Rhinolophus ferrumequinum: one gene and its partners. Each later gene encodes a partner of the first gene's protein in a complex. Links are inferred from orthologs where the notes say so. Each region holds a gene or a part of one and is shown in the gene's direction. Other genes may lie near its edges.

What was found.
Region 2: the proteins of NMT1 (region 1) and NCS1 are in contact, whole or in part, in a crystal structure (PDB 5O9S), measured with the Homo sapiens proteins. The link is inferred for Rhinolophus ferrumequinum from reciprocal best matches to the Homo sapiens genes NMT1 and NCS1. Residues at the interface, in NP_066565.1 of Homo sapiens: Tyr180, Val181, Glu182, Asp183, Asp184, Asp185, Met187, Phe188, Arg189, Phe190, Tyr192, Asn246, Thr282, Ala283, Gly284, Arg295, Tyr296, His298, Ser300, Lys310, Phe311, Ser312, Tyr401, Leu403, Ser405, Tyr420, Gly468, Ile469, Gly470, Asp471; in NP_055101.2 of Homo sapiens: Gly2, Lys3, Ser4, Asn5, Ser6, Lys7, Leu8, Lys9.
Region 3: the proteins of NMT1 (region 1) and HPCA are in contact, whole or in part, in a crystal structure (PDB 7OWM), measured with the Homo sapiens proteins. The link is inferred for Rhinolophus ferrumequinum from reciprocal best matches to the Homo sapiens genes NMT1 and HPCA. Residues at the interface, in NP_066565.1 of Homo sapiens: Tyr180, Val181, Glu182, Asp183, Asp184, Asp185, Met187, Phe188, Arg189, Phe190, Tyr192, Ile245, Asn246, Phe247, Thr282, Ala283, Gly284, Tyr296, His298, Ser300, Lys310, Phe311, Ser312, His313, Tyr401, Leu403, Ser405, Tyr420, Gly468, Ile469; in NP_002134.2 of Homo sapiens: Gly2, Lys3, Gln4, Asn5, Ser6, Lys7, Leu8, Arg9.
Region 4: the proteins of NMT1 (region 1) and AIFM3 are in contact, whole or in part, in a crystal structure (PDB 6SJZ), measured with the Homo sapiens proteins. The link is inferred for Rhinolophus ferrumequinum from reciprocal best matches to the Homo sapiens genes NMT1 and AIFM3. Residues at the interface, in NP_066565.1 of Homo sapiens: Tyr180, Val181, Glu182, Asp183, Asp184, Asp185, Phe188, Arg189, Phe190, Asn246, Thr282, Ala283, Gly284, Tyr296, His298, Phe311, Tyr401, Ser405, Ile469, Gly470, Asp471, Asn473, Leu474, Leu495, Gln496; in NP_001373743.1 of Homo sapiens: Gly2, Cys4, Phe5, Ser6, Lys7, Pro8.

What each region holds. Positions count from the first base shown.
Region 1 is NC_046304.1:39,890,509-39,897,887, forward strand, and holds the start of NMT1 (glycylpeptide N-tetradecanoyltransferase 1), read left to right. Parts: upstream 1-4,366; 5' UTR 4,367-4,411; coding exon 4,412-4,542; intron 4,543-7,379.
Region 2 is NC_046295.1:78,469,634-78,477,101, forward strand, and holds the start of NCS1 (neuronal calcium sensor 1), read left to right. Parts: upstream 1-4,468; 5' UTR 4,469-4,584; coding exon 4,585-4,648; intron 4,649-7,468. UniProt on the Homo sapiens protein: Neuronal calcium sensor, regulator of G protein-coupled receptor phosphorylation in a calcium dependent manner. Directly regulates GRK1 (RHOK), but not GRK2 to GRK5. Can substitute for calmodulin. Stimulates PI4KB kinase activity.
Region 3 is NC_046292.1:22,515,644-22,523,611, forward strand, and holds the start of HPCA (neuron-specific calcium-binding protein hippocalcin), read left to right. Parts: upstream 1-4,964; 5' UTR 4,965-4,983; intron 4,984-5,514; exon of another isoform or gene 5,515-5,569; intron 5,570-7,310; 5' UTR 7,311-7,331; coding exon 7,332-7,709; intron 7,710-7,968. UniProt on the Homo sapiens protein: Calcium-binding protein that may play a role in the regulation of voltage-dependent calcium channels. May also play a role in cyclic-nucleotide-mediated signaling through the regulation of adenylate and guanylate cyclases.
Region 4 is NC_046308.1:23,362,723-23,370,056, forward strand, and holds the start of AIFM3 (apoptosis-inducing factor 3), read left to right. Parts: upstream 1-4,329; 5' UTR 4,330-4,392; intron 4,393-4,631; exon of another isoform or gene 4,632-4,801; intron 4,802-6,393; 5' UTR 6,394-6,456; intron 6,457-6,962; 5' UTR 6,963-7,117; coding exon 7,118-7,148; intron 7,149-7,334. UniProt on the Homo sapiens protein: Induces apoptosis through a caspase dependent pathway. Reduces mitochondrial membrane potential.

The sequences.
Region 1 (7,379 bases):
AGTCTGCTTTCTCCAAGCCTTTTCTAACAATGCTGCCCCAAAAGCTTCATCCCTGCCCTGCCCCCAACTTCAGTTAACTTATCTACTGTATCTCGCTCATTTCATCATAGCCAGTCAGGCCCTGTTATTTTTTTTCAAGCGAGGCTGGTTTTTCCAATTTCACTGTAAGTACCTTCTGGGCAGGGAACGCCTACCACACTCTCTCTTAAATCCCGCCTCACCAAGCAGAAGGCTGGGCCCACTGTGCTGCAGGCTCATGTGTCAGGAGATGTCATAGGAAGGAAGGGTACCCTTCCTGAAAGTGAGCTCCAGGGGACAGGAAGCTGCCAAAGACCATCTCCCTATGCTTTAGTTCACGACTGAGCCCACCAGCCCTGTTCTTACTCAGAGGAGAAAAACTGTCTTCCCCAGGACAGTCAGTCTGCTCCCTAGAGTATGATCTTTCACCAGCAAAAATGCGATCCTCTCTCTCCCCAGCTAACAATCAGTAGCTCCTGAGTCTTCAGGATAAACCCCAAACACCCCATCATGGTCTGACTCCTGCCTCTCCAGCCTCAACTTCCAAAATGCTCCTCACACGCTAAGCCCAAGGCGCATCATCCTCATTGCAATACTTCAAAAGCACCCTACTCAGGCAGCTGGACTGTCGTACCTTCAGCTTAGGACGTCCACCCGTTTGTCTGCTTCCCCTATGAAAACTCAGCTCAGCCGTCTTTTCCTCCAGGACGCCTTTCTTCAGGTTGAGTCCCTCCTCTAGGCTCCTGCTACGTCCTGTGTTCCACCGCTCTCTCATGCATTGTTATGTAACTGTCAGTCTATGCACCCACCGACTCATGGAATGAACCCAGGACGGGGACGGTGTGGTTCTATCCCTGCTTTTCTAGTTCCTGTCAAAGAGCCTGACATGTCACTAGTGCTCCAGGGTGTTGAAAAATGAACCACAACCTGGCTCATGCCTTCCCAGGCCCATTAGAAGAAAAGGTATCTCTGACATGCTGCTGGGAGTACAGCAAGGGCCTTGATTTGTATAGACACCATGAGAAAGTTTTTGTCACAGTAGCAATGCTGACTTCCTGGGAAGGGAAATACAAATTTATTAGGTATTAACTGTCCCAGATACTTTACTAAGTGTTCTGTGTACACTGTCTCATTTTACAGAGAGGACACTGAGGCTCAGAGAGGAGAAGTGACTTGCCTAAGGCCACTCATTAGGTAAAAGCAGAGCCAGGATTTAGAACTCAGGGAGTCAGACTCTGAAGCATGTTCTCTTAACCACTATATTCTACTGTCCCCCGTAACCGCGAAGGGATAATGGCACTATGTACACTAGGAGCAAATTCCAGAACCTGTAGAACTTCACAGGCACATCTCTTGGTCACCCTCGGGGCCCTGCTGTACCCCACTACCTTCATATAACGCTCCTGCCAGAATGGGTGGGGAGGAAGAGCCAGCAGAGCTCGATGGGAGAATCCTACTATTCTAGTGTGATGAGGCGCTCAGAAAGCTGCAAATGTTTACCTTGGAAAAAATAAGAATTTTAGGGAACCATATATTAATTGTAGAATATGTAACAACCATCTAGAAGGACACAGGATTATGTTTCTACATGATCCCATAAGGCAGAACTTGGCCAACTTTCCACCAATGAGAGCTGTCGGAAAATGGAAGGCTGTCTCTTATGGGGGAGTGGGGAGGAGCAAATACAAGAACTCTTGGGTGGGCGGATGGCTCAGTTGGTTAGAGCACGAGCTCTGAACAACAGGGTTGCTGGTTCGATTCCCACATGGGCCCGTGAGCTGCGCCCTCCACAACTAGATTGAAGGACAACGACTTGGAGCTGATGGGCCCTGGAGAAACACACTGTTCCCCAATTAAAAAAAAACAAACAAACTTCTTGGAACCCCAAGAAAGCATCCATAGACCCAATTTAGGAAACTATATTGCACTGCTTTGGGTGATCATTCTGCATCAATGTGACTGTAAACTCAAAAGTAAACTTAGGCACTAAAATCACAAGCGCTTATTTAAAAAATGTGTCACATATACTCAATTTCTTTTTAAAACATAAAATTGCAATTTTATTAAAGAGAAATCATGGATCCTACAAAATCTAAGTGAGGATTCTAACTTGAAAACTCCTAATAGAGAGGGAATAAAAGCCTTTCAGGTCCTCTCTAACTCTGAGATTCTGAGGTGCTGGATTCCAGAACTTTGGGCTTGTACTTGTATTCTGAGCTTGGTTACTACAGTCATACAGCCTGCCTACTTCCCAGAAAAGGCTCTCCACTGAGCAAAAACTGCTCAGTTTGCTGTACAAAGCAAAGCAGATACTTAAGCTTTGAATTCCAAGAATGGCAGGGTCCATAGAAACCAGCACCTTCATTCCCTATAATTTCTTCCTTGTCATGTTTCATTAGCCTTCATTTAATCTCTGCATATCTGTGAGAAAAGAAAATATCGGGTTGGGAATTAGAATACCAGATGTGGGTTCTGGTTCTGCAACTAGGTATCACTGCGACTTTTTTTTTTTAATTCAATTTATTCGGGTGACAATGGTTAGTAAAATTACATAGGTTTCAAGTGTACAATTCTATAAAACATCATCTATATATCACATTGGGTGTTTATTTATTTATTTTGCAAGCACAATTTTCTTCAAGTCCCCTTCCCTATCTACTTCACAAGGTCACATGAGCTACAACAGGTGAAACACTTACAAAAGGTTTCACCTGCAGCTGCACATGAGACCTTGTGTTGACAGCAGTCTTGGCCCTGGAGACATGAGTGTAGGTGATGGCTCTTAGCCTGAGCTGGTGTCTCTGACTGCCTTCTAAAGTCAAGGATAAATGATTGGGGATTATTTGCTGATTTGGACATTTACTGCTGCTCTTGCCACTGATACAAAAAACGAAGAGTCGACTATATTTAGCTCTGTTCTATTTGTTTTGTTTGACTCAGTCAGATGGGGACTGTTTCTTACCGCACTGCGAGCTTCCCAAAGGCAAAGATCATTTCCCTTTTTGGCCAAGTTGCTCTCTGATGTTAAGAACTTGTCCTTCCCTCACCACCCACCACAACCCAACCAGAATGGGAAATCTCCCGGAATGGGAACCCTGTCTTTGGGCTCTCTCCTCAAAACTCAGATATGCTTGGGGTGGCCCATTGGCTCACTTGGTTAAGAGCGGGGTGCTGGTAGCACCAAGACTGCCAGTTTGATCCCTACATGAGCCTTCCTTAAAAACAAACAAACAAACAAACAAACACACAAGAAACCAACTCAGGTAGGATTACTCACTCACTGGGGTGAGACCCAAGGGATTGAAGCATTCAGTCGAGGCTAAAAAGAGACTAAGTGTTGCAATTACCTTCTAATAACTGATTTCCATGGGTATATGTAACAGACAATGGGACTTACGTAGCGCTAAAGAATTCAGAGGGCCTAAAAGCAGACAGATCCAGACTCGTATACTGACTTTGCCATTTATTAACTATGTGACTGTGCAATTTACCAACCAATCTGGGCCACATTTCTTCGTCTGTGAAAAACGGAAACAGCGCCCACGTTCCAGGCTTGTTGAGAGGATTAAATGAAAAATACGAAAAGCCTTACCACAGAGCCTGGTATATACATGCTCAATAATGAGTAACTGTGGAGGGCTGCTGTGGAGAATGAAAGGGAGAGTATGCGGAAGAGCTTCGTGGAGACCGGTACCGGAGGCCCCGAGCGTCAGGGCCTGACCGAGCAGTCAAGACTCCTGGCTCAGAATCAGTGCTCCGCACAGCACAATTCACCCCCTCTCGTGAGGCCTTGAATTACCAACCACCACGGGCCGCCCAGAGTTCCGAATGAGGAAAGGCGGCCAGTAGTCAACTGGGCTTTTTGAAGGAAAGCCTCTCAGCGAAGGCCCGACGCATTCAGGCTGCCGATGGGCAGCCCCACGGGCCTCAAGCCCTCTTACTTACCCAGGAGTGATAACGGTCCTTAACGGCAGCCAATAACGGCTCACCTGTGGCCCAAGCACTAGCAAGGGCAGGCTGAGGTCAAACCTTGGATTTTGGAGCCTCCACGCCCGAACCCTAAACTTGCATCGAACTACAATTCCCAGCATGCCACGCGGCCCGCCGGTCGCGGAGCGTCGGCCCCGCCAACTTTGGATCTCTCCTTTCCTCAAAGCGCGGCCGAATGCCCGGGACTTCCGAGTAATGCTGATCCCCCAACCTAGGACAGCCTCCCTTCATGATTTCTGGGTACTGTAGTGTACCTTGTTCCGGTTTCCCGGGAATGAGCCGCTCCTAGTTACGGCTCCCTTCGCCACAAAAACTACAAAACCCAGAATATAGCGCAAGTTCCCCTCGTCCAATAGGAACCCCCCATGTAGCGAGGCGTGGAGGCCGGCTCTCGCAACTCAAGATGGCGGACGAGAGTGAGACAGCAGTGAAGTCGCCGGCACCTCCGCGGCCGCAGATGATGGAAGGGAACGGAAACGGCCATGAGCACTGCAGCGATTGCGAGAACGAGGAGGACAACAGCTACAACCGGGGGTAACGAGATCCTCGGAGTCCAATTCCCTTCCAGTCCCCCACAACCTGGGTCTCTGGGGTGCGGGGAAGTCACCGGGAGCTTAGTGTAACCCCACCCCCATATTCTTATTGGCTGAGACGTTGGGATCCTGCCTGGCGATTGGTTGCTGTCTTTGTCATTTACCAGGGTGGGTGCTCATATATTAAGGATCGGAGACATTGAATACTTTTATTATATAAAAGTTCTGTGTAATGTTCCACTCATATGCTTACGGCGCGTCCGGGGAAAAGAGCCTGTTGGACGATAGTTTTCGATGGCACAACACGGGTCAATATAACACTACAGTTCAAAGGGAACGTTACTTATAGAGGTGTTGTGTGAACAACGTGACTAGCAATAAACGAATAATAAAACATTTCGCTGCAGTTCACCTTCAATGAGGAAATTCACCAGGCTATACAGACCATAATTATGTTGTAAAATGTCACTACCAGAGAATCTCAAAATATAAACTTACCTTATAAACCCTACGTAATTACTGTATAGTGTTTTGATGTAAGGTGTCCGTTGCTCCACATAATCCATAAGTTTCCTAAACAGTATATAATTCTTCCAGCATCTTTGTTAACTTTGCGAAGTAGCCTCAAGCTTCAAGAAATTGAGTAATGGTCTTTCTTGAATAGTGTACTTTAGGGTTTTTCCTGCTAGCAACTATCTGTTCCTTGGGCAGAAGAAATGCATCAGGCGTTTGTTTGAGTGTTGAGTTCTATTTCCACATCAGTTTTCACTCCTGTAAGCCACACCCTGTCATTCCTCTTTCTTCATTGTTACAGTGGCTGGTTCTGACACTCACTCTCCCTATCTATATATTTACAAATATGTTTTTAAACGGAAAGTCATGAGAGTCTTTTGGATGTATAACTTGCTGTGTCTGTGATCTGTCTGATTTTCATAGCCATCTTGTCATTTGCAGTATTGATGGTAGTCCTGGAGGTAAAGGTAGGAGGTAGAGGTCTTTGGATAAACTTTTAAAAAAATTCTGCTACCTTGCAGAGATGGGAGAATATAGGATTATTTAAATGATTTATAATTTGCCTGTGGTGAATCCTTAGGTTAAAAGATCTAGCTTTTATGTTCTACAGTCAGCAGTAAAAATGAGAAGAATGTAGAGGAAGAGGAAGCTTGTCAAATTTGGTTTTTATAAGACTATTCTATAGCTATTACTCACAATAGGTCTAATGTAATAAAAGCTTTGTTTTGAAGTTTGAGTGTCCTAAGAATGGAAGAGCTGAGAAAGAGAAAATAGGAACAGGAAGAAGGGAAAGTGCAGCCCTGAGTAGAGATCCCGTCACAGATGAGAGTTGTTGAATTAGAAGTCGTTTCAGAAGTGAAAGTACAGCTTCTTTGCTCTTTGTGTAGCTGCTTTTATTTTTCTCTGCCAAACTGTTGCCCTGACCAGTGTCTATAGCTCTTTAATTAGTTTGGTTCCCTATAATCTATGAATTATTTTGCAAAACTGCTTGGCAGAAAGTTCTGTGTTTTATTTATAGTACAGCAAAGTGGTAACCTAAAAAAAACTTTGAAGGTTTTTTTTTTTCTTTTTTTTTTTTGGTTGTTTTTGTGTATGATTATGGTCTGGGTGAACAAATTAAGTTCATTAGCATCCCAAATGTAGAGGTCTTTATAGTAAATGAGTTAGGAGGTGGCAGGTGAAAAGCAGAGGACCCAGCCTGGAGGACAGAACCTAGTTCTGGCATTTGGATTCTGAAGTAGAGTCAACATTTTTCCACTAAGTATCAGAGGAAACGGTTTGGGGAAGAAACTGTGTGGCACGGTGGGAAAAACATAGACTCTAGAGTCGTTCAATTCTGGGTTCAAAGTCTGGTGCTGATACTTAATAGTAAACTTAACCTCCAGTTGTGGGGATTAAATGAGATAACATCTGGAATTCAGTCTCCCCCCTTCCTTCTATTCTTTCTTCAAATCTCTGTCCTCCTTCCCCCAGCTTGCCTCCCTGCCCTTACACATACTGTACTTTCGTAGCTTTTTATCTTGACAGTAGTTAAATAACATGTGTCTAGCCCCTGCCTCACCTGAAGGTGTCTTAGAACAGGGTTCATGTCTTTGGGATTCCTGGCACTTAGTGTTAATGAATATTTGCTGGATGAATGAATGGCAAATGTTAAAGTCCTTAGCCCAGTGTTGGTAGAGTTTCATTTCTTCTCACTGAGGGGAAGATTTTCCTTATATATACACTTTCACTTTCTTTCCCCAAATAAGTGTCATTGTAGGCCTTGCTACACTTTTTATGAAATACCTGCAGAAATCAAGGATTCTCCAATTTACTGTGAAAGTTTTCCACTGTTTTTTGGCTTCCTGGAAATTTTCTTGTCTTATAATACCGGGGGTGCCAAAAAAAATGTACGAGTGTACACATTTTAAGAGATGTTAACACTTTTGGTCAACGTTGCTCAAGCAGTAGTTTGCGGTAATCAGAAGTGCCTGGAAGCTGATGGTAACCACTTTGAGCACCTCTTATAATTGCAGAAGTCAAACGTGACTTGTATTCATCTTTTGTTATAGGTATATATTAACACAGTTTTTTCCTTTCTTAATATGTGTATACATTTTTTTGGCACCCTCTATATTTAAAATGTTTTCAAAAGTGATATACGAATTGAAGGGGAATAGTTTCTTTCGATGTTACTGATTCTAAAGTATAATATTTGCAATTAGATTATGATAATTCAAACTAACCCGTATTCTCTTAGGCTTTTCTTTCAGGATGCGCTCACAGTGCTTTACGCTAATGAAAGGAGCTACATTCGTGCACTGGAATCATAGGAAGTGCAGTTGT
Region 2 (7,468 bases), on another chromosome or scaffold:
CAGTGCTCCAGCAGCCACTGCCCGTGCATGGGCTGGCGTTCGCAGCCTGCGGAAGCATGTTGTGGGGATCACCGGGCAAATCAGCTGGGCTGACCCCAGCGTGGTTATCCGGTGCCCACTGTGTGCCAGGCACCACGGGACGTCCGATACAGTGAAGGAGCTGGTCACAGCTGGGCTCTCTCCAGCACTGCCTGCCCTGTGAATATACTTACTAAAGGCGAGCCGCTTCACCCCCGTCCATTTAACCCTCAGCAGGCTTCAGGGTGTCCCACTTACCTCGACGAAATGCCGCCTTTGCTGCTCTACATCCTTTCTCCCTGAGAAGTGGGACTTGGACACCAATGGGTTCCTGTGGATATTTCTTCCGCAGGACGATGGTTCTTCAAATGCTAACTGGAGTTAAGGAAAAAAACAGGTTCAATGGCCAAATAAATGTGGAAAATACTTAAATAAAACCGATTTCTTTCTTGCAGGGCTTCTCAAAGCCTTTGAGTAAATACAAATGTGCAAGGTGACTCTTGGAGAGCTTGGTTATAGCATGCCACATTCCCCAAAAGCATTTGACCAGGGAATCCTTCTTCCCACAGGACACGTGTACCATACAGACTGGTTTTTTCTCAGGCGCTACTGGATTATATACTTTCGACAATCTTTTGAATTTGGAGAAAAAATATGATTAAAAACTACTTAATTAAAATACACAGTGACGCCCACGGAGTTTTTCCCTCACACAGTTGGGATGATCCCGTAGGTTGTGAAAGCTTTTTGTGCTTCCTGTGCTGTAAGCAGACCTATACCATGTGACTAGATTTCCAGCTGTGCTATAATTTAATATACAGGATCCCATGGTCTGATAGGCTAATCCCTCATTCTGGATATGTAGGTCGCTTCCATTTTTGTTGTTGTAAATACTGCTGCAGTAACATCACCGAGGCTTAAATTTGTACAGATCTCTAATTGTTGGCTTAGGTTGATTTCCTAGAAGTGGAATTGCTGAGTCCGAAAATATGGATATTTATTGGCAAACTGTCCCTCACAAAGGTTGTACCAACTTGCACCTTGCCTGGCGGCGTCTGGATGCCCATTTTCTCGCTCCTTTGCCAACACTGGGTATGATCATTAACTGTAATTTTTCCCCCCAATTCATTTTGTGCTTCTCTGATGACTTGTAAGGGAGGTCTCTCCTGTGGACTAGCGGCTGGCATTTGCTCTTGTTCTTGTCACCTATTCGGGTGCTTTCCCCAACTTTCTATTGAGGGATCATCTTTTTCTTATGAGCTTAGCAAGTTCATAATAGGTTAAAGATATGAACTCTTTGTCATGTGCTTATGCGAGTAGTTTTGATCCTCATAAACACTCGCCCATGAGAACATGGGAAGCGATGTGCCCAAAGTGACAGGACCAGGACTCAACCTGAGCCGCAGGGCATTGAGCTTCATGCTGGGGGTTCAGTGGGACCCCTCCTCCTCCCCCACGCCCTCCCCACCTCACCTGGATCCCTGTTCCCACCCAGCTCCCAGGAACAAAAAGGACTTCCTTGGACAGGCCTCCTTCAATCACATGAAGTGCTGCAAAAGGACCAGGTGCCATGTGGGTAGGTATAGGTGTTGGGACTTGAGCTCACCTGGGGGATCCAGGAAGGCTCCATGGAGGTGATGTTTAAATGGAGACTTGAAAGTTCACCCAAGACAGTGCTATCCAACAGAAAAATAATGTGAGCCGCATGTGTAACCTAAAATTTTGTAGTAAGGCACTTTAAAACAAAAGAAATAGGTGAAATAAATTTTAATAGTATATTTAATTCATTATATCCAAAAAATCAGTTTAATATGTATAATCACATTTTTAAAAATATTAATGAGCTATTTTTATTCTTTTATTTTATATGATCCTTGGAAATCTGGTGTGTGTTTTTTGCTTACCACACCTCCACTGGGACTGGCCACATTTCAATGGTCACATGGGTGTGTGTGCGAGGGGTTTCTGTGTAAGATTTTGAAGGTCTAGGCATTCACTACAATGGGGGGGTGAGATCAGCCCAGAGTGCGGGGGTCGGGGTGGGGAAAGTGGGAGATAGTGGGGGGACAACTGCTTGTTAGAGGAACCAAGAGATGAGGCAGGAGAGGAGGCCCTGAGTGAGCCTTCTGGAGGCTTCCCCTTCTTCAGGTCCATGTCCAAATATCACCTTCTCAGTGAGTCTTCCCTTACCCTTAAATAGCTACCACCTCCCACTCCAGCACTTCCCATCCCCCTTCCCTTCCTACTTTTATGTTTTCACCTCTGGCATTTTACTCATGGATTTTATTATTATGTTGCTCTCCCCTCACTAAATTGTAAGCTCCATGACAGCACGGGTTTTGCCTATATGCTCTGGGGCCTGGCACATAGTAGGTGCTCATAAATATTTGCTGAACGATAGAGTGAATCTGCAAAGCTTCCAGGAAACTCCCTGACTCCCCTCTTCCACAGATGTTTCTGTGCATAGTCCCCCAGCACCCTTGCCATTCCCCTTGTGGCGTTTGTCACCACTGTGGTTTGGAGACCCCTGTGGGGCACGTCGGGGGAGGGGTGGTTTGTGAGGACGTGGACATGGGTCATGGCAGTGTCCCCAGGACCCAGCACAGTGCCTGGCACATGGGCAGTGGGCAAGAAATACAGGAGCATTGGGATTTCTATGGGGCTTTAATGCTACCACTGTCACTGTCCTGACCAGGCCCTGGTCCCCATGCTGGTTCCCCCTCCTCCCAGGCGGGATGCTCAGGCTGGTCTGGCCGATTCAGAGCCCCTCAGACCCAGGCAAGGCCTTCAGGGGAAAAGCTGGAATGGAGGTGTTTGGGGATGGGGCATTTGGAGGCTGAGAAGCATGCCTGGCCAGTCAGGCTTTCTTTCTCTGTCTCCCCAGCTACTCTGTGCTTCCCATCCTGAGGTCTGAACACTGCCAAAGTGGAGAGAAAAAGAGACCCTGCCCACACTTCATCCTCGCCTCACCCTCCCCTGCTTTGTCCACCCCCAGGCGCCCAGCACCCTCATGCCTTCCTCATGCGAGGTTTGCAGAGCGGCTACCGGTGCCTTCTAGGTGCTGGAGATACACCTACAGATAAGACAAGAATCCTGCGCTCTGGGGGTTCGTAGTCTAGTGGGGGAGACAGCAGAAACACAATACATAAAACACGTTCTCTCTGTGATAGTTGCTAAGGAAAAAAAACGATAAAGCTGAACCCGGGATAGGAAAAGTGGCAACACATTCACATTGTACATGGGGGAGCACACTGTACATGGGGGAGGGCGGGAAGAGTCTTTCCCTCGCAGCCTCGCCTCACGCCCATCCTCTTGCCTCTGTCCATCCAGGTGGAGTCCTGTCCACTGGCCTGGCCTTAACTCCTGCCCAACACCTGCAGGAAGCGACCTCCACATGCAGGCCAGAGAAGTAGAAAAGGCAGAGCTGACCCTGTCATCACTCGCCTTAAATCCCACAGGCCTAGCTCCGTGGAGGAGAGGGCTTCCCCTTCTTTCTGGCCTCAGATCATACATGCCCTGCCCCTGGAGCCCCTGGGCCAGGAGGGCTGTCCCTCTGGGCTCAGGCGTCCTTCCCTCCTCCAGGATTTCAGGGCCTTGATCACTTTGCCAATCACTCTCTCCCCGTCCCCCTGGGCTTGGAGGTAACCTTCCCCCAGGCCGCGGTAGGTGCCCCCACTATAAGATGTGACATCTTGCACCGCAATGCCGGTCCCCGCCCGCGCCACCCCGTAAGGGCTGGGGCCGCGCTTGTCCTGTGCACAGCTGTGGCCCCAGCGCCCAGCAAATCCGTGTCGAATGAATGAAATTCGCCGAGCAGAGACTCGGCCTCATTCACGTCAGTCTTCCGGGCCCTCCCCAGCCCTGCTCCGCGGTGCGGGGGGAGGGGGGGAACTGGAATGCCCGGGATCGATTCAAGGCGGATGGCAGCGTGACCCCCCCTCCCGCCCCGGGACGCAGTGAGGCAAGGGAGCGCCCCTCTGCCGCCCCAGCTCAGTGTTCAGGGGGCGGCGGATCCACGGGCGCAGGCCGGGCGGGGCGGGTGCGGGGCGGGAGGAGGTGCCGGGCGCTGAGTGGCGGCTCCGGGTCCACCCCTGGCGCGCGGGTGCGGGCGGGAGGCGGGAGGCGGGAGGCGGGGAGCGCAGGGGCGGCGGCGCAGGGAGCGCAGCAGCGAGCATGTGCCGCGGAGCCCAGTAACCAGGGACGACCGGGCAACACCGCGGCCGCGTCGGCGCCCAACCCAGCGCAGCTCGCGCCGCGGCGCCGGGAGAGGGCGGCGGCCGACGGCCGGGCCTGCCCAGCGGCTGCCCCTCGCGCCCGGGCCCGCGCCGCGGCCAGGGCAGTTGAGGCGCCGCCAGACGCGCAGGCAGCGCAGCGCCCCGCGCCGGAGCTCCGCGCCCGGGCCGCGCGGGCCCGGCGCAGACAAAGGCGCGGCCCGGCCCGGCCCCGCTCGGCCCGCCGGCCTCCGTGCGCCCAGCCCCGGCCGCCCCGGCCCGCGTCGGCCGAACCGTTCCCTCTGGGCGCCCCGCCGGGGTCGGGCCCGGGGACAGGGGCCCGCGGCTGCCGAGGATGGGGAAATCCAACAGCAAGTTGAAGCCCGAAGTTGTGGAGGAGCTGACCAGGAAAACCTACTGTGAGTGCGCGCCTGGGACCCCCTCCCCGCGCCCCCGCGCCCCTCCCCCACGCGTGGTCTCTCCACCCAAACCCCTTGTCCCCTCTGCGGGCCCACTCCCCACCCTCTTCAACGCCGCAACCCTCCCTGGGTCATTCCCTGTCCTGCCTTCGATCCGGCCCCCCCACCCCCCGAAGGCCCGGGTTGCACCCTCAGCCCCACACCTGGCCCTATTGTTCTAGGGCACCCAGCCCCCCACGCTCGGGACGTGTGCCGCCTGTCAGCGTCTGCGGGGCCACCCCCAGGCGTGGAGGGAAAGCCCCAGCCCACCCTAGGCCCCCTCTCTGCAGAGCTGTCCGAAAGGGCAGGGGTGTGCAAGGGCCAGGGGCGGTGGTCCGGGCAGGGGGCGCCTGGTTTCCAGGTGGCTCTGGCTGCGCGGAGCCGACTGGCACGAGCGCGGCGGGGCGGGTGATTCATGCATCACGATGCCGCCGCCGTTGCTGCTGCTGCCGCTGCCGGTACTGCGAGGTTGGCCTGTCGCCCCCTCCTTGGCCTCCGTGTGTGGGGGGTGGCGAGACTTGTCAGAGAGCTCGTGGCAGCAGCTGCATCCAAGGGTCCTGGGCACCCTGTTGGCTGCAGGATTTACAGGCTGAATTCTCCTCTGGCCCTGAATTCACCTCCCCCCTCCTACCTCTATCTGCTAAACTGGGAAATGGGTTTATACAGCCATGGGTGATCTGCTCCCTCTCAGCATTTAACCGTCTGAGGCACCCCAAAGCGGTGGGTCTGTCCATTTCCGGCTTCTCTGAATCTGTCCGAGTGTGTATCTCTCCACTTGCCCAACTTCACAACTCTACAGTCCCTCGCAGCTCTAATTTCTCCTTACCAGACTTCTCCCTTCCCTGCATGCAGCCTCTTGGCAGATGCGCTGACGTGTTAGGGGTTAATGGCACTACGTCCTGACCCACGGGTCTTTCTTTTTGGGAGACAGGGTGGACAGCTTCCAGCCTGGTAGGACTTCTGCCTGGACGTCTGACTTGGAAAGGGGCAGGTGTCCCTGGGCTTGGGTTGGAATTCAGAACCCTACCCGGGCACCTGCGTGGGTCCAGCCCCTCTGCACCCTCCCTGGAGGCAGCAGATTGACTGCCAGTCCTGTGCGTTGATGGAGGCTTGGGAGGCAGGTTCTGGTGGTGCATTGCACAACCTCTGCTCCCTCCCCCATCGGTCTTCTGGGCACATTTGCAGGTCTGTCCAAGCCCACGCTTCAGCTCCATGTCCCTCGCCCCCACGTGCTTGGAACAAAGGGGGCTTTCCTAAGTGGGCGGCTAGTCTGCCGAGAGGTCCTGGCCCTTCTCCAGTGGAATTCTGCAGCAAGGAGCTCATCTTCCAGTAGCTGCTCCTTGAAGGGGGAAGGCTCCAAGGACCAGGAACTCCATCTTTGCTCCTCTGACCCTCTTATCAAGGTGGGTGGGTAGCCCTTCCCAGTTTGGCTGCTGGTTTGTGAGATTTGCTGGGCCTTCAGGCTCCATCCAGATATGGTCCATAGCTGTCAGCTGACAGCCTGCAGGCGGGACCTCCTGGGAGGCAGAGGGCACGTGGACTTTGCCATGAGATGTGGCCTTAGGCTGCACTGGCCTGTCTCCATCACGGGGAGCAGGGGAGCCACCTGTGAGCTGAATGAAGTCAGGTTTCCTGCTTATGGGGCACGTCACACGCTGAGCTCTTTGCATCGTTAGCACATTGAATCCTTGCAACAGCCCTGTGCATAGTGGGCACTGTTCCTCTCCCCATTTACAGATGAGAAACTAAGGCTCAAAGAGGTGAGTGGCATTCCCACGGGCCCACAGCCAGTCATTAGGCAGTGTTAGGACTTGAACTCAGGTCTGTCCATCTCCAAAGTTATGTCTCTTGAGAGACCGCAGTGCTCATGCCAAGAAGTCAGGAGGGACCTTTCTTCTGTGTGTCCCTGTCTGGTTTCTGCTATAAGACGTGGTGGTGGATTCTGGATGGGTAGGGACCTGGGGCAGCATTTTGTCCAGCCCCCTCTCTCCAGGCAGATCTGTCACCTTGGAGAGAAGTTGAGTCAACAAGGCTCTGTTAGGAACTGGCCTGGTGGTGCTGGGCTGCCTGGACTATTTTTAAATGCCTTTGGATACATAGAACAGTTTTGATCAAGGAGATAGTGGCTGTTTTTCCTAGAGCCCTTATTTGGGGTGGGCTGGTGGAGGTGGTGGGGGGTTCATTTTCTGATGCCGGCTCCCTCAGCACAGGCCTTGGTCTGTTTGGCTGTGTTGGCACTTAGTAGGTCCACAGGTTTGTTGAATGAAAAGTCTTCCAGCAGGAAGAGCAGACAGAGAAAGCCTCCAGCTTGTTCTAAGGCCCCAGATGGGCTTCCTTCTGATGGGGAGTGGAGCCATCTGCTCTTTGTTCAGGGGACTCTGTGTGTGGAGTCAGGAGAGGAGCGCTTAGGAAGGACTCCCAAATGTCAGAATCTCCTGGAGGGCTTGTTCAATAGCAGCAGGCCTGGGCTGGGTGGCCCTCCCGGATTTCTGATTCTTTAGGTCTAGGCTGGGCCCAAGAATTTGATCCTTGACAAGTGTTTGTCATGGAGAGCTAGATTCCCAGGACCCCCAGTTGAAGACTCACAGCTGGTCCTGGGGCCCTGGCATACATAAGCATCACCTGGTGTCCGAGGCCACCTTGGGCACAGCACAGCTGGCTACAACGCTGAGTGGGGCCCAGAGGGGAATCCCGATGGTCACACCTGAGTCAGTGTGACTACCACCCTTGGTGGTGCTCCTCCTGCTCCCTGGGAAAGACTGTCCTGGGGGTCTGTGTGTC
Region 3 (7,968 bases), on another chromosome or scaffold:
ATGGGGGTCAGGGAGCCCCCGTTCCCCAGCCTTGACTCCAGATCCCTTCTTTCAGTATAGGGGAGATCCTGGCCATCTGGTAGAGGAAGGGCTGGACTGGTGGGGAGTTTAAAGGAAGGTGAAGGGTAAGAGCTGAGGTAGGAAGTGAGGGTTGGGGCCTGGGGAGCCTCGAATGTTCGCTTATTCTGATGGGCAGTGGGGAGCCATGGAAGGTTATTAAGCATGAAGGAAGGGGACTGTATTTAAAGAAACTGAAGGCAGGGAGAGCTGTGAGAGGATCAGATCTCTAATACAGGGTCATCAGTGGGGCAGGGGAGGTGACAGGAAGAGGAGAGGGTAGGCCTGAGAGACATACTCTGGTAAAAAGGGCTGACTTGGGAAGGAAGCAGGTGTGGGGGTAAGGAGGATTGAGGGGTCCCTGACGGGGTGGAGCCTCAGGCTTGTTTGGTGGATGGAGGGCAGGACAGCCTGGGGTGGAAGGCGATGAGTTGGATATTGTCCGGCTTGAGTCCAAGGTGTTTGGGGGCTTCTGGGAGCAAGTCCAGGGAGCAGCTGGAAATGTGGGGTTTACCGAAAAGGAGCCACAGGATCGGAGGGGCTGTTTTGGCTAACATTCCCAAACTGGGAAGGGGTCACCCCAGGATCTTCCCAGGGTCCCCAGGGTCCGTAACCCTATGAAGTCTGTACTTTCATATCAAGGGACCAGCAAAGATGCAGGCCCTTTCTTTCTCCTGTGGGATCCCAGGTTCTGGGCTTGGCAGAGAGATCAGCTACCTTCTTGGGGATCAGTGCTCTTCTTCGGGACATTGTAGCCATCCCTCTGCCGCAGAGCCCGGCAGCCACTAGGGCTCTGCAACCAGCATCTTCAAGTCCAAGTTTCTGCTTTGTAGAGGGACCATCTCTAACCAGCGTTAGCCTTCCCGATCCTCCAACACAAGGGATTCTCTATTAGCTGCTTGGAACCCACATTTATTGGGCAGAGACTGTGTCAGGCCCAGTGCCCACACTTTACAGGTTTTCTGTCACTTAATCCTCACAATGACCCTTGTTGGGATGGGGTACTATTATTATCCTTTCCATTTTACAGTGGAAGGAAGCAATCGAAGCTTCCAGGGCCTTGCCCCTCTCCACTGTGGGGGTGGGTGGTGGGTCAGGGTTCGCACCCCTCGGTGAGAGCGGCAAGGCTACTGTGTGACCTGGACAGGCATGGCAGGTCACACAGTATCATCTATACTGAGCATCATCTATAGAGTAAGGGACCCATCCCCGCCACAAACCCCCTCTCAACCGCTGACTTCAGGTCTGCAGTTCCAGCTTCCAGGACTTTCCCAGCCCCCATCGCGGTTCTGTTCCTCCTGGCCCAGCTTCTTTGGGAACAGCCAGGCCTAGGCTGTGCTCCTGGCAGCTCTGCCACCTTGGGCTCTGGTCCGGGGGTGGTCCCTGGCGGTGAGGGGGACGGGCAGAAGCTGGTATTGTTCAGGCTAAGATCCTGGGCATCAGGAGACCCCCCGGCTCCCATCTCTGTGCTCCACATTAGGGTAGGCAGGGCCCTTTGGAAAGGGGTGGCTTGAGGTTTTAATCACTTTATCAATGTTTGTTTGTGTAATTCAGCCTCGAGATGCTTTTCCCTCCATCTGTCCCCACCATCTGCTCCCATCAGGATTTTCCAAACCATTTGGGACCAAAGAGGGAGGGTGGGGGCTGGGCCTCTTAGGGAAGTGGGGAGGGGCTACCTCCACTTACCATATTGAGAGGCTTCTAGGGAGGGGCCTGGGCTCCTGAGTCAGACAGAACTGGGTTCAGAGCCTGACACTGTCTCTTTATGTATTACCTTAGGCTGGTGACTTCACTTCTCTGAAGCCTCAGTCTCCACATCTGTAAAATGGAAGTAACATTATTGACTCCTCAGGTTTAGTGCAGACCAAGTGAGATGACACATGCAAAGCACTCTGTACACAGTAGGTACTCAAGAGCTATGTGGTCCCCTCTCCACTCATCCCCCACTTGCTTCTCTCTCTGACATCCTGGGAGCTGGTCTGTCCCTTTTTATTGCTAGACGGGGGTAGCCACCCCTCACGTCACTCCTCACATGTTGAGGACATCCCCTTCCTTGGGACTTGCCCTCTCTTCCCTCTCCCATGGACCCTGGCTACTGCTCAGTTCCTTCAACAACCACCTTTTACATTTACCCTAAGATGTATCTCTTCTCTCTCCTAGAGGCCTCAGTCTGAGGTGGAAGGGGGCTGAGTATCATCCGCAAGGACACCTCCACCCCACTCTGCAAAGGGCCTTCATAGAAAGCAAGTCAACAGGGTGCAGGGTTCCAGGGCCACTGGGGCCTCATCTTGTGTCTGCTCATGTCTAGAATTTCAGGCCAGAGGGGGCCAGTGAGGCAGTAAATGAGGCCTGTCATGTCAGTACTCTGATCTGGGGGGATGTCAAGGCACCAAGGTCATCTGTCTAACCTTTCTGGTCAGAAAGATGAAGAGACTTACTCCAAGTTATCTAGAAGTGAGGGACCCAGGCCTCCTGACAGCTGCCCCTCTGCCCCCCTTTCTGGGCTATATCTCAAGACATGAGGTCTTGGGCCAAGGGCCTTGGCGTGCAATATGGGGAACTCCCAGCCTTCCCCTTTTGCTCAGGGGGGCCTCCCATTGCTTCTTAGTCCCCTGGGAGGGGAGAGGTGGCTGATGGGAAGTAACCAGCCAAGCCTACCAGGGCCCAAACTCTACTTCCAGATCCATCCTACTCATTCGAGGTGCAAGGAAAGTCAAAGGGAGGTGGGGTACCCAGCGTAATGAGAAGACATGGTCCCACCTTCAGAAGCCCCATCTATTGGAGAGACAGGATGCAGACTGGGGGTCCTGAAGGCAGGGCATCAGAGTCACCCACACAGAGAAAAAAAACAGTGGGGCTAAGAGAAGTAGGCTCCTGAGCCAAGGAGTCAGCCTCGAGGAGGTGAAGCTGGGTCAGGGAAGTGGGAGGAAGCAGAGAGAGTGGCTCAGCAGCCCCCGCGAGGGTAAATTGAGACCCACAAAGATGGAGAGTAGGAGCCAGAGCAGGCTGTGAAGATTCAGAATCAGACAGGCGGGAGAGGAAGGAGGAGAGGGAGGAGGCCTCCTCTCTCTGCCTCAAGCACAGCAGACCCTCCAGGCCAGGTGGGGAGAGTGGAGAGAGCTTGTCATTCAGGAGGCCTGGGGGGAGGGCTGAGCAGCAATTCTCTCCCCACCCCCAGGTCCTCATGCAGGAAGCAGCTGGGAACCACCCACAAATGTCTAGGTCTCTCCACCTGGCGGTCCCAACCCCAGAGCCAAGGTACATAGAGGAACTGGCTCTGGAGGGCCCAGCTGCCTTCCCAGTCCCTCACAGCCTGGCTGCCCAACTCCTCCAGTTGAGAACTCCCCTTCCCATTTGCCCTCAAGCAGAGGTACTAAGGCTTGATCTGGGAACCTGGAGGTGGCTGCCATGATTTGGGAGGAGCTGTCCAGTCAGAAGACAAATGCTGTCAGCTGACCTTCAAAGTATAATAGCTCCAGAAACCAGACCCCTCTCTGCCACCTTGGTCATCTATCACCCTGAGTTTTCTCCCTGCTCCCGCCTTGGCCCCCACTCCTCGAAGTCTGTTCTTGACAGAATGCCCTAGTAAGCGTGACCTGGATGTCAGACTCTCTCACTCTGCTCAAAGCCCCAAGAGCTTCCCATCTCACCTGGAATAAAATGGAAAGTCCTTGGCATGATTCTAAGCACTGCCACCATCCCAGCCTCTTCACACGGATCTCAACTTTTTCCCAAACACTTACCTATTACATTGTAGAACTGACTTGTTTACTGTCCACCCCTTTAACCCCACTGCTAAGACTTGCTGGGCACAGAACTAGTGCCTGATAAATATGTGTGAAATGAATGGATGAGGGCACATGGATTCAGATCCAAGCCTTCCATTCTTTAGCTGTGAAACAACGGAAAAAATCATTTAACTCCTCTGAACCTGTTTCCTCATCTGTGAAGTGGGGACAGTAAGGACCACCTCTTAGAGAAAGGACAAAATTTGAGCCCAAGATGTGGAGATTGTTGCTGAAGCTGGGGGAAGGGGAGTGCAACCCCCGTTCTGGCAGGAGGAGCTGATAGGGGTGGGTAACTCTAGAAAGGGGCTGTCCAGTCTGCAAGCAGGGGACCAGCCCACCTCAGGACCCCCCCTAGCTGGAGATAGACGCTCCCCAGCCCTCACTGGCAGAGGGCTGGGGAGGAAAGGAGGGGTTTCCTTGATTGGGGGAGGGGAGTGGGAGGAGCAGTTTAGATCAATGTTGGGAAGTGGGATTCATTGGGAGGGGTCCCGGGAATGAGATCCGGAGTGGCGGGCCGGAGATGGAGGGTGGGCTCTCTAAGGTGGAGGTGGGGTGGGGGCGCGCCTGGAGGAGAGAGCGCTGCCCCCTCCCAGAAGACCCCCCAGCTCAGTTCCGTAGTTGAGGCGCTGGGGGTGGGTAGGGAGGGCACACTTGAACCGCCAGGATCTGGATTCCGCTCGCCGGGCAACGTGCGGCTTCGCACCCAAGTATGGGTAGGGGAGGAAGGTGGTGGAGCGTCCGGGGGTAGTCCCAGCTTAAGAAAGAGTCTCTGGGCACTGACCCCCCGCCACCCCATTCAAACTACCTTAGTGGACATGCTGAGGATATGGGGACCTCGGGCCTCCTCCCCCGGCATGTGCTCCCTCGTGAGGGGGGCCGGGAAGTGAAGGCGTCCCTTTCCCTCCCCTGGAAAAGGGCGGGGGCGGAGCCTAGTCCGTCGCTCCCCCCGCCCCCAGGGCTGGAGGAGTGAGGGAGGAACGGGGACCCCCCCCAAGGGAGGGACTCCGGGCGAACGCCGCGGGGCGTCTCCCTCGCAGTCCCTCTCCCCGCCCCCCGCCCGCCCTTCAGGCCCGTCTCCGCTGCCGCGCGCCGCAGCAGCGCCGCCTTCCCTGCGCAGTCGGTGGCTCCACGTCGCTGGGTGAGTGGGGGCCGCTTTGGCCGGGCTGGGGAATGCGGGGAGGGGGCAACCCCGAGGGAGGGAGCCACGTCCAGGGCTCCCCAGCCCCGCCGCTGCCTCGTCTCCCGGGAACCCTCTCTCCGGGTGCTCAGGGAGTGGGGGCTCCTCAGGGTTATCGCGTGGAGCTCTCCAGGGTCCTGACCGCTGAGTGACCAGCCGGGAGGAGTCTCGTTACAGCCGCCTCGGAGCGCCCCCTCCAGGAGGGGCCACACGCCGGGTGCTCTCCGAGTGCTGAAAGGATTGAGGCGGGGGCTCAGGGCGAAAGATGGGGAGAGAGGTTCAGAGAGGGTCCCCGGGGCAGGTTTCTCAGGTCGAGCTATGGGTCCCTCCCATTTTGGGAACGGGGGGTCTTTGCGAGACAACAGAATGTTTTACCACCCTCGTTTCCAAGTCTTCCAACTGGGAGGGGCAACTCTGGGTGGCAGGGAAGAGGGAGCATTCTAAGACCTCTCTTGCTCAACGCATCTCTCTGCCCTCGCCCTGATGACCCAGTTGCTTGGACCTTCAGGAGAGGATTAAGGGACACTGTCCGCCGCCCCAGCCCCAGGTATTTCCTCAGTCTCCTCCCACACACTTGTTCAATGTGTCCTCATCCGGGGGCAGAAGAGGCTGATTTAGAAAGGAGGGTGACCAATTTACAGACACACGCATGTGACACACTGCTAAGGACACACACAGACCCCCAAATGGCCACACAGACACATCCCCCCCACACCGTCATAGGTGCATACCTAGTCACAGGCACAGACATGTACATGCACAGATATGGAAACACATGGGGAGATAAATGCAGTGCAGAACCCAGGGACACACAGGCATGCATGAGCACATGCACTCACACACACGCTCATCTACATGTGCACAGAGCTTTGTGCAAATGCACACAAAAGGAACCCCCCTCATCATCTCACAGTCCCAAGTTGGGGGGCGATTCACCTGCACACACTCCCACATCCCTGCCCAGAACTGCCTGGCTGTCTCCTCTCCTTTGCCATCCCCTCGGTCCTCCTCACTCTAAGCTCCTGCACTGAGGGGACCTTTCTGGACTAGATGAAAGGTAAGTGTTGGCGGAGGGTTGGCAGGCTATGAGTCTCTCTGGAAAAGGGGTCCATTGTAAGTCTGAGAAGCATCAAAACTCCCTTTCCTGGGACCTAACGGCACCCCTGGGAAGAGAAAGATGGCAAGGGTGCCCGACGGTCCCATGTGCAGCTGGCCATGTGAGAGGTGTCAACATGGGAGTTGGTTTGTGGTGGCATGTTTGAGACATGTGGGATCGTGGGTTGGTGTGTCTTGATGCACAGGGTATGGGTGTTGTGCCTGCGTGGTGCTGAGTGTCAGTACATGTGAGATGTGGAACAGAGGGAATGTTGTGTGTGGAGGTGACCCATGGATGGGTGTGGGCTGGTATGTGTGTGGCATGGGACCCAGTGTGTGGATTTGGTGAGTTGTGTAGCATATGTGTATGTATTCATGTGTGTTGTGCATGAGTTTTGTAGCATCTGGTACATGTAAATCACATTTAACACTTATGTAGTATTTATATGTGCAGGAATTGTTCTAAATGCTTCACATGTATTAACTAATTTAATCCTCACAACAACGAGGTAGGTACTATTACTCCCACTTTACAGATGAGGCAGAGAGAGTTTAAGGAACTTGCCCAAGGTCACATAGCTGATAAGGGCAGAGCTGGGATTTAAACCCAGGTGGTCTGGCTCGGGAGCCCAGGCTAACACTTACCTTATGCCACCCTATGCCAGGCACAAGTGTGTGGGTGAACAGGCCAGTGTCTGGGCTGCAGGTGTATTTTGTGGTGAGCAGGCATATGGGAGACAATGAGGGGACAGTGGGTAGGAAGGAGGAGGAGGAGGCTTTTCTGCACCTCCCTGGGCAACTCTGGAAGTCAGCCCGGCCATTCCATGGCTGTAGGACCTGAACTAGCTCACCTCAATTCCTTGATCCTGCCTTCTCCTCTGTAAAATGGGTCTAATCCCCAGGCTTCACTTTGTGATGGTGAAAGGATACACACCTGTGAAGGCTCAGCGGCTGCCCTGAGAAGGGCTTCAGTAAATGTGAACCCTCTTCTCTTCCTCTGTCTCCAGGCCTGTTCCCTGGGGAAGTGTAAGGTCTGGGAAAATGGTGTGGAGCACATCACAAAGGCAGGATGCCTGGGTGCAGGCTGCGTGACCTTGGGGTGGCTGGTGTCTGGGGGCCCACCTGGAGTGGTGTCAAGGGACCAGGAGGGCCTGATCTCTCCTCTCCATTCCTTGACCCCCTTGGGGACATAGGTGGGACTTGGCTCGGTGGCCATGGGCAAGCAGAACAGCAAGCTGCGGCCGGAGATGCTGCAGGACCTCCGGGAGAATACAGAGTTCTCAGAGCTGGAGCTGCAGGAGTGGTACAAGGGCTTCCTCAAGGACTGCCCCACCGGCATCCTCAATGTGGATGAGTTCAAGAAGATCTACGCCAACTTCTTCCCCTACGGTGACGCCTCCAAGTTCGCTGAACACGTCTTCCGCACCTTCGACACCAACAGCGATGGCACAATCGACTTCCGGGAGTTCATCATTGCACTGAGTGTGACCTCGCGTGGCCGCCTGGAGCAGAAGCTCATGTGGGCCTTCAGCATGTATGACCTGGACGGCAATGGCTACATCAGCCGTGAGGAGATGCTCGAGATTGTGCAGGTGGGCCCCTGGGCCCCTCAGAGTGCCAGGCACAGGGCCCAGCAGCTTGCACCCACCATCCCTTTTTATCCTCTCGACAGCCCTTGTGGGTAGGTAGTGGCAGGTGCTATTCTTACAGCCTCTTTATTAGGAAATAATTTCCAATTTAAAGAAAAGTTAAGTAAACTCTCATATACCCTTTACCCAGATTCATCAATTAACATTTGACCACATTTGCTTTATCATTATGTGTGTGTGTATGCGTGTTTGTAATGTTTTG
Region 4 (7,334 bases), on another chromosome or scaffold:
TTCTGCATCTTGCTTTATTCCCCCAATCTATTTTAGAGTGTTCCAAGTCAGCATATTGAGTATTTGTTCCTTTTTCGTCACTGTATATAGTATTCTACGAGATGGATGTATTGTCACTCATTTATGTTCCTCTATGGATGGACTCCTTTCCAATCACAGGTGGTTCTTCCTCCCCTCCCCCCACACACACATTAAAATGAGTTCCTCTGAGTGGGATTGCTGGGTCAAAGGCTCTGGACATTTGCAATTTTGAGAGCTGTTGCCTAATTGCCCTCTGTAAGGATTGCCTCAGTTTACACTTTCAAGAAGCACCGTGTACGAAAATATCTATAATGTCTTTGCAAACCTTCTGTAGACAGCTTTTTATTGTTGAACAATATTCCACTCTGTGGCTGAAGCAGTTTATACTAGCTGATCTGTCACTAGGGGTGGGGAAGTTGCTGTCACGGGGGCTGGGGAAGTTGTTGCCAGTCTCTCTTTTTAAAAAAATATTTATTGGGGAAAAGTGTGTTTCTCCAGGGCCCATCAGCTCCAAGTTATTGCCCTTCAATCTAGTTGTGGAGGGTGCAGCTCAGCTCCAAGTCCAGTTGCCGTTTTCAATCTTTAGTTGCAAGGGGGTACAGCCCACCATCCCATGCGGGAATTGAACCGGCAACCGTGTTGTTCAGAGGTTGTACTCTAACAAACTGAGCCATCCGGCTGCCCCTCTGGAAGCTCAGCAGCAGCTCATTGTCTTCAATCTGGCTGTGGAGGGCGCAGCTCACTGGCCCATGTGGGAATCAAACCAGCAACCCTATTGTTCAGAGCTCGCGCTCTAACCAACTGAGCCATCTGTCTGCCCTGTTGCCAGTCTTGATGATGGAAAATCCTCAGGTCTAAGAAAAGACTGCAGGGGCTGGGCCCACCTTCCAGCCCTTGGGCTGACTCTGGCCCGTTCCTCACCCCAGCTGTCTCCTGACCTCCTGGCTCCCTACCCCTTTCCAGTCCAATGCCAGTCCTAGTTGTTGGCATGTTTGCTTGTTTTCCTAAAGACACATGTAATGAAAGCCCATGACCCAGCTCCTCCCTGGCCTGTGACACTTTCATGCCACGCCCCCGCCCAGAACCCAGCACTCAGGCCAGGATGGACCGGCACATTCTGAATTCCCCAGAATTTGACACATAACCTCCTTGCCTTTGCCCACATGTTCCTTCTATCTGGATTCCGTTCTCTCCGTTCTCTCCTACGTGCCTGTCTGTCCTCAGCTCCTGCCACCTTCTGGTAAAGCCCTCATGACCTTTCCCTTCCTCCATGTGGACTGGAATTCGGACTGGTCACCCCAGAGCCTGAAAACAGGACAGTACTGGCAGCCAGCCAGCAACCTGGGGAGGGTCCAGGTTAGACTGCAGAGGTTTAGAGGAGATGGAGCTGGCCTCCCTAGTGTCGGAGAGCCCCGGAAAACCCAGAGTGTGCTGGGTACATGATGGTCAGGATGTGTAGACCAACCTGGGCAGGGGAAAGGCTGAACTACAGTAGTCAGATCAAGCTCGGGAGTCAGGGATGAGTCCGAGAGCGGGGGTTTGACCTGGGCTCCCCAACCTGAGGATCCCCAAACCTCTGCTTCCATATAAATAAATCACCGTTTAGCTCTGGGAACCACTTCCACCCATCTTGCCCCTCAACACAGCTGGCCTCAACTCAGATGTTGCCTGTGCTGTATCAGCTCCCCAACATTTCCTGGGGATCTGTCAGTCAAAACATCTCCCCATTAGGAAATCCATCTAAATCCAGAGGTTTCGTCCCTCCTCTTTCAACCCCTTCCCTCAGAACTCCAAAGCTCAAGGAGGGCCCTGCTGACCCTCAGACTGGCCTCCAGGGGGCACCAGTGTCAATGCCAACGTTAGACATTGCAGCTATCGCACTTTCTGACCTGGAAAAGGACTATCCTGCACACCGGCTTGGAGAACCAGGCTGAGGGGAGGGGGAACAGGGGAAACTTAAGGAGAAGGTAGATGTAAAGAGGGCGAGGACAGGCTTGCAGCATACTGGGAGTGCTCCAGGGCTGGGGGTGGGGCAGGGGTCACCATCACACATGCTTCTCAAACCTCGGCAATCCCCTCTGCCTTTGGGGTGTCTGCTGGTCCAGGGAACTCTCAGCTGCCCTAGTTCACCTCACTACATCTCAACCTGGAGTTTGATTTCCCTCTTTGCTGTTGCCCCATTGGGTATTATCAAAGCCACTGGGATGGACCTATCACTTTACCAGAATTTTTCTTGGGGCAAGATCAGTATCTCAGATTGCCCAAGGTTCAGAGGCCTCCTGAGTGTCCTGGGATCCCCTTGTCCACATGTACCAACAGTCTGGGGGCCCTCCACAAGGCAGCATCCTAGCCTACATCCTCTATGAGCAAAATTTCTGCCCCACCATGGGGCAGCCAGAGCTTTGAGCCCAATCCCCAGGGCAAAGGGCACCACGGCAGACTCCCCACATGTCAGGGCTGCACTCACCCCATGTCAGGGAATCTCCCCAGTTGTTGGCCTCCTTAGCCTCCATGCTGCCTTGTCCCCCAGTCTCATCTCTGACACCCCAAACTCAGCAGCCCTTACACCACAACCTGAGCACCTTGTCATGGTGTCCTGGAGGCAGCCCCAGCCAGTGGCCATTACATTTACCCCCATGTTTCCTGGGCAACCTGGGGCAGAGGGGTTCATTCATTGAATGGGTCACAGAGCAAAACTCCAACTCTGCGCTGGAGAGCCTGAGGCCTTGGCAGAGCCTGGCAGGTAAGCCCAGGACAGACTAGCCAACCTGCCAGGATTCAAATCTATGCTCTGAAACTCACCGGCTGTGTGGCCTTGGGGCATCCCTAACCTCTCTGAACCTTGGTTTCCCCATCTGTAAATGGAGATGATACAAAGAGAACCTTCCTCCTCAGGCTGTTATGAAGATTAAATGAATAAATGCACATGAAGCCACAGCCGTGGTTATGGGGTACACACACTGTCTTCCTGGCTGGGGGATGGGGAGTGGAGTGAGATGGGGGTGCAGTCAGCATGTGTCTGGAATGGGGGCAGGCTGGTTGTAGGCCAACGGAACCAGATCCAAGCAATGCCATTTGCCCAGTGATGGGCCTCTCCTATGACAGTGGCAACAATCACACTGTGAAAACCATAGAGGGCTGGCCTGATCAGAGTGACTGTCTCCCTCCAGCCCTAGACCCCACACCTACCTGCGTGAGTGTGACCCATGCAGGTCCTGGTCCTGCCCCTGGGTGAGACTTAGCCTATGAGCTTCCCTATCTGTAAAATGAGAGGGGAGTTGTGGTGGCCCCCCGGGGTGAGGTGGGGCATAAATAAAGGACTCTCTCTGAAGACTGGAGCAGCCTGGCACCTGGGACTGTTACTGCTGTTGTTACTGTCATCCCTACAGGAGAAGAGCAAGGCACAGAAAGTAGAGAGGCAACAAAAACTCGAGCCACCAGAAAAGAGCAATAAAAGGACAACAGAGTTGGTGGGCCCTGATGTGTGTAGTGAGTGGTAGATGTGACATCCCTTCCCCGGAATGTATCATTCATTCATTTCCCCCATAGTCAGAATTCCAGTTGGCTGGAGGGACAAAACCACTACGCAAAGATCTGGAGGGACAAAACCACTACGCAAAGATCTGGATAGTCAGGAAAATGAAACACAAGAGGTCCAAGAGTCAGAATATCAGGTCCTGATGGAGTCTGGGGAGGCTGGTCAAGGAGGGCTTCCTGGAGGAGGGGACAGAACGCCAGGATGCACCAGGATTTATGGGGACCCAGGAAGTTCTCCTGGTATAATGACAGGTGGGAAAGAGAAAATGTAATAAAATAACATTTAAAATAGAGCAAATTGTGTTTGGGGACAGGGGAGGGAGGGAGCTAGGAGACCTGGAAGACTGAATCCCCAAAGCGGGTCAAGGTATCTAGGGGGCAGGCGGGAGTGATTTGGGTTTTCTTTCTTGGAGAGGCTTCTCAGGTGACTTAACTTCCCCCACGCCGCCCACGGATGGTTCGAAGACTTACTAAAGAAAGAAAAGGAAAAAGAATCAGACCCGTTGCGCGCCCCAGCTTGGCGCCTCGGAGGGTCGCGAGGATCTCCGGGATCCCAGACTCCGCCGGGGCGTCAAGAGCCGCGAGAGCCCCCGGCTGCCTCCTCACACCTCGAGACCCGCGTGGGGACTCAGAGACCGCCGGCTGACCCCTGACCCTGGAGCCCCCACCTTCACGGCCCGGCGGGGCGGGGCTGCGCGCGCGGGCTCCCTGGCCGCAGTGTCGCCGCAGCGCCAGCCCCGCCCCCGCCCGCTCCTTCCGCCCCCCCCGTTCCCCCCCCGCCCCGCGGCCGCGGCCCCGTAGCGGCTCCAGAGCGGACGCCTGCGTCCAACCCAGGTGAGCGCCCGCCCCCAGCTCCCGGGACCCCGAACCCGCCACCCGATTCGGTCCCCGGGTCCCTATCCCGCAGCCTCCGCACTCCGAGCTAGCGCGCGCCCTCGCGGGTCTCGGAACCCGGGCGGGCGCTCTGGAGGCTGGGGGTCTGCAGCCGAGGAAAGAGAGACAAGCCAGGGCAGAAGCGCCACTCTTCCTTCTCCCCTCCCCTTCAGGGTCCTCCCCGGCTCGCCGCCGCGTGGCCCTACTGTGTGTTGTGTGTCATTCCCCCTTCCTGGGCCACCCGGTCTGGTGGGGGGACCTGGACGATCTGTGGAGACTACTTGAAAGGGCATCTCAGATAGAGGAACAGCACGTGCAAAGGCAGGGAGAGTGCACCGGAGGTTTGCGCCTAAGCCCTGTAGGGGAGGAGGTGAGGACCGCCTGCTCCCCAACTCCAGTGCCTGTCTGAGGAGCTTGGATGCCATCCAAGAAGGGCTGAAAGCCACTGACGGCCTGCGCTGGTCAGGAGCCCCCAGGGTTGGTGTAGGAAGGGCCCATCAGATCCTTGGTGAAGAGTGGGACTAGGGGGAGAGAGGGGCTGTGCAGAGAAGTCCGGAGAGGCTTCTCTCCCCAGCCTCCGCCAGCTGGGGCTCTGGGTGGGGAGGTCTTGGACAGGACACAGGCTCCTGATGGATAGTTAGCACACAGGCAGTTACAACTTTTTGGCCATTGGGCAGCTGGTGGGCAATGGACAGCATTCTGCCAAAACATGGGGTCCCCTCCTGCCATGCCCCTGGCAAGGACTTTTGCCTTTGAGTGGGGGTATCTGGGCCTGCAGGAGGCAGGAGGGCACCAAACCTGCCTAGCACACAGTAGGCCTGGAGAAGGTTCCATCCCCAGCAAATCTGTTTCCAGGCCCAAGGCCCTGGAGTTTCCAGATACCTGGGCACCTGGAAAGGGAGGGAACAGCCTAGACAGGCACCTGGTGGCAAGTCCCACCTTTTCTGGGATCTGTGGTCCAGCAGGTGAGGCCTGATGCCAGGCAGGAAGGAAGTAGTCAGGGCTGAGCCAGAGGTGAAGCCAGATCTGGGGAGGGGCCCCCTTGTGCCCAGGGAGAGGGCATGAGGGGTGGGTGGTGGCCACATTTTACCAATCTGCCTTGGCGACAACTGGGGCAGAGAGCATGGGTGTACAGGCAGGTGGCCTTTGGGTGCCACAGCCTCTTGGCCTGTAATGGGCACCTCTAGAGCAGGTAAGATCAGGTGCCAGGCAGTAGGTGGTCCTTCCCCAACCTTTTCGTCCTGTCTTCTTGGCCCCCTTGCTCTGAGGCACCTACCCAGGGCCCTTGCTGGGATCTGGGATAGACCCAGTAAGCCTCAGCCCCACTGGAGTTAGACTTCAGGAAGAACTTTCAAGGGAAACAAAGGAGATGAGAGTGGGATGGACAGTCGTAAACAGGGCAGGTACACTTTTGTCCTGGGCCTCCCGAAGTCCAGTCTATAAGCTGCATCTTCCGGAAGGTCCATCCTGTGGCTTTGAGGGCTCCTTGGCTACAGGGATCTCTGCTGACCTAGTGACCCCTCCCCCAGCCCAGTGGCTTGCAGGGTGATATCGGGGCTTCTTGGGTCCCTACCCTTCTTTGAACTAAGTAGGAAAGGGAGTAGGAGGCCACCCAGATACCCCTACCTGCTGCGTGACCTTGGTAAGCCCTTGGCTCCTCAGTTTCTCCATTTGATGCAGGGCATGACCTCAGCACCACGGGCTTGTGAAGAGTGAGGGTGGGGGGTGAGAGCTCATGGCTGCCGGGCATGGCCTGTGGCCGGACTGTGGCCTCCCTTTCCCGCCCAACCCCATCAGGCCTGGGCTGGCTGCCCACTTCTGTTCACCATGGAGCTGGGTTTCCCTGGGGACCAGTGGACTGACCCAGCCCCGCCCCTTCCAGCCCCTCCTGGTGGCAGCTCACACTGGGAGGAGGGGTGAAGGCTGCCTCCTGGACCCCTGCCCCCTTGCCCTGCCTTTCAGGGCCAGGCAGCCTGCATCCACTGTTGGGCTGGGAACAAGAAGCAGTGGCTGCCCATGGAAGAGGTATGTGTAGAGGGGCTACTGGCCAGGGTGGGTGCTGGGGCCAGGGACAACTAAATGTCACTCCATCGTAGTGAAGAGAAACCCGAGGTCCAGGAGGGTTCTGATCTGCCCAAATGGGCCTGGGCTTTGACCCCAGGCCTGGTGGGCTCCCCGGAGAAAGGAGTGTCCCAGGGCTCCCAGGCTGTGGGATGCTGAGGGGGCAGCAGAAAGCAGGGAAGATTTGCTGGACAAGGCAGCGGTGGGGTTGGACCTAAAAGTCTGGCTAAGTTGGAACAGAGGGGCTCCTTTGGCAAAGGTGGGAGGGGGCAGTGAGGGTGCTGAGCACGGAGGGCCTTAAAATGAAGGTGTTTCTCTGGGATCTGGTCCCCTACATGCAACAATCGCCAGCTCCAATGTGGGCCTCTTCCAGAAGCTCCCCCACCATTTGTGTCTCTCTCTGTGTCTCTACCCATATAACCTATCTAAGCCCTAGGCCCTATCGACACCCCCCTGTCCCCTCACCGCAGGCCTGCAGGTCCTGAAGGTAGCTCCAGCTGGGATGGTGATGGAAGCTCCAGCATTTCTAAGGGCTGTGGGGGGTCGAGCCCCACCGGGGGCACCCTAACCTCCCATAGCCCACCATCTGTGCGCCTGCCTCCTGCCCATCCGAGGGCCACTCGCCATGGGCGGCTGCTTCTCCAAACCTAAGCCAGGTAACTCCTCTCTTTTTGCTACCTCCTCCCCCCTCCCTCCTCCTGTCACCTTCCTCCTCCCCCTCCCCCGCTGCCTCCAAAGTAGGTCAGGCTGGGCGGCTGCCGGCTCCGAATGTTAATGCGAGGCAGGCAGGAGGGGGTGAGGGGCCTGGAGTCTTCGGGCCCCCTTCCAGGGACTCCCACTCT